Linked DNA regions of Oryzias latipes. The protein of the gene in region 2 interacts with the protein of the main gene of each other region in a biochemical or structural test. Links are inferred from orthologs where the notes say so. Each region holds a gene or a part of one and is shown on either strand. Other genes may lie near its edges.

Region 1 (3,827 bases), on a different chromosome or scaffold from region 2:
TACTTCAAATGATTTGTACAGCACAAAGACACTTATTGAAGACCCAGTCTGATAAAAACATATGATTTTGGTGTTAATGAATATGTTCTTGTAGCATTTTTATGATGATGGCAGACATATATTAAGAAAATTAAACTTAAAATCGCATTTCTGACTATTTATACATTTCTCTGGCTTAAAACTGTACAGCTGGATAGCTACAATATTGCTCGCCACTTTTGTTGCACCGGCAATGTTAGGTTGGGGCTGAGAGGCTGTAAGTTAGCCGGAGAGAGTAAGCAGATGGGTGATGGGAAGTGGGGGCAGGGTTATTTCGCGCCAACAATCTTCAAGCAAACCTCAGAGGTGAATTTCTAATGAACTCTTGCGGCTCTGCAGAAACTGTCATTTTGGCAAACAAGGACATTATCATAACTAAAAGACAACTGGAGAAGCTTTTAAAACAGATCAAAGGATGATTGGAGCGGGCCTTTAACTCTTTTTTCTACAGGGCAGCAACACAGATGACGCATATGTGGGCCGGTTGCTTCAAAACAATCTTAAGAGTAAAGTCCACAAACACTCGTGACGAATATCCAGTTACCTAACCAATTAGGAAAGAAATAAAAAGGTACAAACAAAAGCTAGAGGACGATTTATTGTGACACTAAAATACATCCCAGGATTTTTACGAACATATTTTGAATATAATTTAAAGTAAAGTTTGCGTTTGCCTAATAGCTTCTAAAGCTTTCATTAAATTCAGTCCAGACCTTTAGGCAGTGACAGAAGGAGCAATTAATGCATCAATATTTCTGAGGTCCACACTCATTTATTAGGAGTTGAAAACCATCTAAAGCAGGGGTGGGCAAACTGCGGCCCGCCTTCATGTTTGGTCCGGCCCACTGAACAATATCAGAGAACCATGTTTATTTATTTTTATCTGGCAACACGATCAAGACGCGCATAGAACGTGACATTTTATTCCCCCCCTTTTGCAGTCTGTGCTCCAACCTGAAACCCTCTAAAATCTGTCAAACAGAACAGAGACAGTCTTCCCTTTCTACGTCGTAGTTCATCTTTCCCGGTTTTAATCGTTCTTTTAGAGCGATTATGCTGCTGTTTTTTAAAACAGCGCATCCTGTTCTGTGTCCTGATTGGCTGGAGACCCTGTCAATCAATCTCCTCCGTGTGTCTCCTGTACAGAAACGTGGAGCTCTTCAGATCAGAAATCTGGGATCGATCAGATCTTTGTTTTCATTCTAAGATCCTGGACTTAATTTCTATGAAGGTTTGAGAATTGAAACAAGAGAAAAGGGTGAAAATGTTCTGTCTGAGAAAAGTGTATACTCTGTGGATTTCACTGATCACGGGTTATTTTTAGAACGTAACTCCTGCAACAAACAACGGAACTCTGTACTGGTGAAAAGGTAACACAGATATATGCGTAGCTGCAGCAGAAGACATAGAAATGTGCTTTTTTCATTATTACTGGACGCCAAACAGACGTGCAGGACACAGCTGTTCAGTTTCAGCGCAAACTGTGAGACGTGTGAGGAGCTGCAGCCATCAACATCTCAGCGGGAAAATGACGGCAGAGGATCCACTGGATCCATCCAGAGGATCCATTGGTTTTTCTTTTTAATGCATCAGTATATTTTTTCCTGACTTTTTGTCTTTGAAAATCACAGTTATTTGGTCTTTTTTTATTTCATAAATAGTGTTATTTATTTTATTAAAAGGATCATGATTTAAGAAAACTTTAGTTTAGGGCTTTACAATAAAAGAAAGATAAAAGAAGTTAAGAGTTTTAAAGAAACAGAGTTATTGTTTGGGGCCCCGCTTTGGCATCCATGTGGTGTTGGAAGATTTGTTGTTTTTTATTCTTCCTATTATTCAAACACCACATGAACGCAGCATTTCTCTTAAGTTTTACACGAGGTACATCAAGCCGTTGGTGCAATTGGCTCTAAAATGAGAACGCAGTTTTTAAAATATAATTTCCAATCCAAATGTTTTCATCCAGATTCCATGTTATTTCTTTGTCACTCCACGCATCTGCTCCTGGTCCGGCCCTTCTATCCAATTTGAGAACCCCGTGTGGCCCGCCAGTCAAAAAAATTGCCCACCCCTGATCTAAAGAAACAACTGCGAATATATTTTAGCTCCTTGTACTAAAAATATATGACGCTACCATTGCACGAAGCCAAGTCTGAATTTAGAGGAAAAGACTGGCTTGAGAGGGGCTACTTGGAGGATTTCTCCCTTCAGCTAAAACACAAAATGACAGTAGAACATTAAAACAAAAATCTGCATCACAGCTGAGTCTCAGTGTGGTGTACTGTAAATATACCAGAAACTTTATAAAAGCCACCCTCATGTTTAAGTGGGACTATAGCCTGACCTCTTTCACATAAAGGAGGATGTAAAACCTTTGGAGCAAAAGCTCATTGTTTGAATGAGTCCAACACACCTGTGATGACGCGGTGGGGAAGGTGATACCCTCTTCTTTGAGGGACTTTATAGTAGCACTAATCAGGCTGAGCTGCGGATCCTTCTGAAAGTCCTCTGCCCACTCTACCATCAGGGCCTTCAACCTTTCGCAGACTTTAGGATGGGCCTGCAGTGGACAGAAAACACAAATATATCACACCCAGAAGGAAATCATCATTTTTCTTTCAAAGCAGAGTTCCAAAACAGTTCAAAGTTTTAAAGACGTTTAAAAAAATTAAACACATCTACTTTTTATTTAATCTTTTAAGACGTTTAAGGGCCAACATGACTGTTGATTCTATTATAAAGGAATAAATAAAAGATAAATAGCACATAAATTTTAATAAAAATAGGAGAAAAAAGGACTCACTCTGCTTAAAACAGATCTCACTTCACTGGCAAAATCTCTTGAGCAAATTTCCAAATGAAATATTTTGCCACAGTTTGAAACACAAGCGCCGAGCAACTGTGAGGGAAAAGACAACATTTCAGTGTTTTCTACTACACAGGACATCTGCATTACAGTCTCATTTAAAAACAGGTTTTCCCGTACAAAGAAAGTATTTTTTCAGTTCAAATTAGATTTAAATGCTACTTGTCCTGCTGTTGTTTAAGTGTGTGAAAACAGATCTAAACCTAGAACCATTTTCCTCCTTACGACTAATATCCTTCAAGCTTACTGAATGTCTTTTGAATAGTCAACACTTGATTAGTTTGAATTAAAATCAGCAAAACTTGACCAAAAAAATGCATTATTGAAACTGTGGTTGAAGTTAGCCTATTTTTACAATTGGTGTTGTATTTTGGAAATATTGTATCACCTAAATATTAGTTTATAATTCCACAAATATGAAACTGTCACCCTGACTATCCCAAGTAAATCACACACACAAATATAACACATAAAATAATCCCACTTTTGAATTGTGTCGGTAATTTTCTTTTATTATTTAAAATTCATAACCAACTCACATTGAGGGCTTGCATGGCGACATGAGGCACTTTGTGGTTGACTCTCTTCATTATGGATTTTAAGCTGTCTTTTGCTCTATACCAGGGAAAAACAGGATTATATATATATATATATATATATATATATATACACACACAATTAATGCTATACACTTAAATATATGTGTACAGTTAGTTATTGAATAATTAGAAATTTTTAAACGCATACTTATTACAAAATAAACACAAATTCTTGCAGTTTACCCATTGGATGTCGTTCCAATCTTATCACAGATGTCCAGAATAAGCGCCCAGTCATCTGTTGTGTTGTTTTCATTGGTTGCTTTCTCTAAAAATGTGAAAAAACAACATGCAGTTGAGTGTTAGCAAATCATTACGGTTAT
Region 2 (3,827 bases):
GTCACTTACTGGCCTCCGTAACCTTGGCAACACCTGCTACATGAACTCCATCTTGCAGTGTCTTTGCAACACTCCTGCCATGGCTGAGTACTTCAATAGCAATTACTATCTGGAGGATATTAACAGGTAAGACTTTAGAAACAGCAAATGTTTCTTCATATCAAAAACTGTTTATAAAAATCAGGGAGCCAGTTAAAGCTTTATGTTTCATCTTTTGGCAGATCCAACATTCTTGGGCACAAAGGGGAGTTTGCAGAGGAGTTTGGTGTGATTATGAAAGCCCTGTGGGCTGGTTTGTACAAGTGCATCAGTCCACGTGACTTCAAGATCACCATTGGCAAGATCAATGACCAGTTTGCTGGCTATGACCAACAAGACTCCCAAGAGTTGCTGCTGTTCCTCATGGATGGCCTTCATGAAGACCTAAACAAGGTAGTGCATCAGGCCTTTTTAAATGACTTGGCCCAAATGAATTTGCACAAAACTTAAAGTCGGTTACTTATCATTAATACAGAAGACGTTAGACGTTCACAAAGTCAACATGTTTTTTCACTTAATAAAATGGCCCTTCTGAGGACTTCCTTCCACAACACCTGTTTGTTGTTGCACATTTTCCTGTTGACAATTAAAACATTTTTTTTATGAATTTTTTTTTTTTCCTTCTTTCTGTCTTTTATTTGTTTACACTGGGTTTCATTTTGATGGCAAATTTAGAGAGTAAGTAACTGGCTGTGTGTTGTTGGTCCCTCTGCAGAAGTGTTCATGTGCCGTGTCTGTATCTGTCTGCTCCGATGCTTTGTGCAATTCTTTGTGCATGTGGACCCAAAACATGCGTATTGACTGGCTTTATATCCATTTAACAATTTAAACTAATGGATTAACTGGTTAAAATGTTTTTTAAGTTTGTAGTTTAAAACTCTTGGTTACTTCATGAATGTCTGTCAATTTCTCCTTTGTGTTTTAAAATGGGATAGTTCCTGACATTCAGTGAGGAGTTATTGAGGAGAAAAGGATCTTGTGTTGACACTCTTCCCATCACTTCTTTTACGATAGAAAAAAATGGGTGCTGGGTGGCAGCTTGTGCAGGGCTCGACATAGCCATTTGTCCGCTGGCCCGGTCCTGTTTTTCGAGCAGTGCGGACCACAAGACTTTACTTTTCACTTGTCCGCTCGGGCCACTAAAATATCGAACGGTTTATATATTCTTCACCTTTTTCAATAAAGTAAATTTTGCGAAAACGTGTAGATTTACCTCGTCTTCATAATTTAGTTTTTCTGCTAGTCCTGTGTTCAGACTTCAAGGGTTTCTATGGGAAACCTTTGATCACTTCTCCTTCTCTCCCGCCTGCGCGCGCGCGGCTTTCACTGCCGAGCACCACGCGGCACGCGCTCACTACTTTTTTTTTTCAAACTTTATTGAATGTAACAATTCAATACCAAACAATGTTAAACAGCAACAACGAAGGCACAAGCCAGTGGGTTATTATTACATTTGATTATAAATCCGACACCGTCACTGAAGAGAGACTGAAGCATGTCAGAGATGTGGAAGACATGGCAGGAATAGATAGGAATATGTTGGATGGAGTAGTGGGTATAATTAGTAGTATGGACAGCAAGATATTTAATGAATGCATTGAAGATGAAACTGTATGCACTAAGCTTTAAGCTGAATGTCAAAGAATCAAAGGCAACTCCAAATACCTGAATCTCAGACTCAAATGCAGTAGAATGTTAAACTACTTAATTTTGTTTTTCTTTACAACACTGTAAGCAGTAAGTATTTCTAGTTAGCTGAATGATCTCAGTTAGACCTGCACAATATGAGGAAAACTCGCGATATGCGATATCAGAGATTAAAATTGCGATAACGATATAATTTGCGGTATATAAACAAACAGCAAAATAACCAAATAACCATTCCCAGTTTAAAAATTATACTCCAAATGACCCACGTTGACATAGGTTACAAACATCTAACATAACAGGGCTCCATCTGATTGGTCAACAATGTGAAGGCGTCCATCCGATTGGTCAAATGCATTAAGGGATTTATTTGATTCGTTAAATGGTTCAAGCTGCCATTAGATTGTTTTAACAGATTTAAGGTTTATGATTTATTGCGATATTTGCCGTTAGAAGCACCATGAAAACTTCTGAACTAGTGTTACCTACTACACTGCAGTGCTCTCTTCAAAACATCTGAAACAGACTAGAGCAGATTTAAGTTTGATATGGTCTATTTTCAGTCATTGAAAAGTGTAGAAATAAGTGATGTCACCAGAATGCACCAAATTGCACCATATTAAAAGTTTCCGGGGGGGCATGCCCCCGGACCCCCCTAAAGTTGCAAGCACCTGCGGAGCGGCGGGTCCCGCTATGCGCGGTGTCGGGCCAGTAACTTTCAGGCAGGGCCAGTAAGTTTCAAAAACTACTGGCCCTGTGGGCCAGTGCAAATTTCTGGGCTATGTCAACCCCTGTTGTGTTAAACATTTTTCCTGACACACTCCATCCATCATGTCTGTGTGTGATGTTCCGGTCTGTCAGCCATGGCAGGTCCAGTCTGAATCCACTTTGTCGATGTCGATGAGTAGGTCTGCACGGTGTGAGGAAAACTCGCGATTGGCGTTATTAGTGATCAATATTGCGATAATGATATAACTTGCGATACATGAACAAATAGCAAAACAACTAAATACATCATTTGCATTTCACTGCAACAGTTTAATTTAAATGACAGTCAACAACATAACTAAAATCAGAATCCAAATGACCCTCATCTACGGCACATAAAATGCGAGCATCTAACATAAAATGGCTCCATCCGATTGGTCAAATGCATAAATGGATTTATTTGATTCGTTAAAAAAACTTCAAGCTGCCATAAGATTGTTTTACACATTTAAGGTAACCAGTTTTGCAATTTTCAGCGACTTGTGCAATATGTGCATTGCACAGTTTGACATCCCGATAACGATAATTCTGCAATTTATTGTGCAGGCCTATTGATTAGGAAGAACTAAGCTGCTGTTCATATCCTCCTGCTTATTGTAATCAGGGTGAAGTGGCTGATCTGCATGCTCAATGAGGCATTCATTAATTTCTGAAATACTCATAGTTTTCTATATAGTAACAGTAAGTTCAGTTACTGCGGCTGATGTGTTTTCCATCGATACAGTGAGATTAGCAGATGTCTAATGTGAGCCAACATGTCGTTTATCGTCAGGCGGACAATAAGAAACGATACAAAGAGGAGGAAAACGACCATCTGGATGACCAGACCGCAGCTGACCTGGCCTGGAGCAAACACAAACTCCTCAACGAGTCCATCATTGTAGCCCTGTTCCAGGGCCAGTTCAAGTCTACAGTGCAGTGTTCCACCTGCCATCGCAAGTCACGGACGTTTGAGACTTTCATGTACCTGTCGCTGCCCCTGGCTTCCACCAGCAAGTGCTCCCTGCAGGTCAGTCTGAAGCGCTCCCAGCCAGGCTGGCAGTTTTTTTTTTAGGTACAAACCTGAGTTTGTGTGCTGTTACTCTGCAGGACTGTCTGAGGTTATTCTCCAAAGAGGAAAAACTGACCGACAACAACAAAGTGTTCTGCAGACACTGCAAAGCCCACAGAGATTCAACCAAGAAACTGGAGATTTGGAAGGTTCCACCCATCCTCCTGGTGCACTTAAAACGGTATGTGGACATCCACCATGTGCAGCAAGGTGATCAAAATGTTTGTCATCACTGTTTGCTTTGGAAAATAACATGGATCTTAAAGTTTCACTCCAATCATCTTCTGATCTATTGAAAAAGTGTTCCCAGTGGTCTTTTAAT

Evidence for each region.
Region 1: the proteins of usp8 (region 2) and stam2 form a complex in vitro, tested with the Homo sapiens proteins (3 studies listed by BioGRID, with this or other methods). The link is inferred for Oryzias latipes from reciprocal best matches to the Homo sapiens genes USP8 and STAM2.

What each region holds. Positions count from the first base shown.
Region 1 is NC_019879.2:4,395,778-4,399,604, forward strand, and holds part of stam2 (signal transducing adapter molecule 2), read right to left. Parts: intron 3,773-3,827; coding exon 3,688-3,772; intron 3,521-3,687; coding exon 3,445-3,520; intron 2,939-3,444; coding exon 2,843-2,938; intron 2,600-2,842; coding exon 2,453-2,599; intron 1-2,452.
Region 2 is NC_019861.2:13,664,356-13,668,182, reverse strand, and holds part of usp8 (ubiquitin carboxyl-terminal hydrolase 8), read left to right. Parts: coding exon 1-126; intron 127-221; coding exon 222-432; intron 433-3,226; coding exon 3,227-3,463; intron 3,464-3,543; coding exon 3,544-3,686; intron 3,687-3,827. UniProt on the Homo sapiens protein: Hydrolase that can remove conjugated ubiquitin from proteins and therefore plays an important regulatory role at the level of protein turnover by preventing degradation. Converts both 'Lys-48' an 'Lys-63'-linked ubiquitin chains.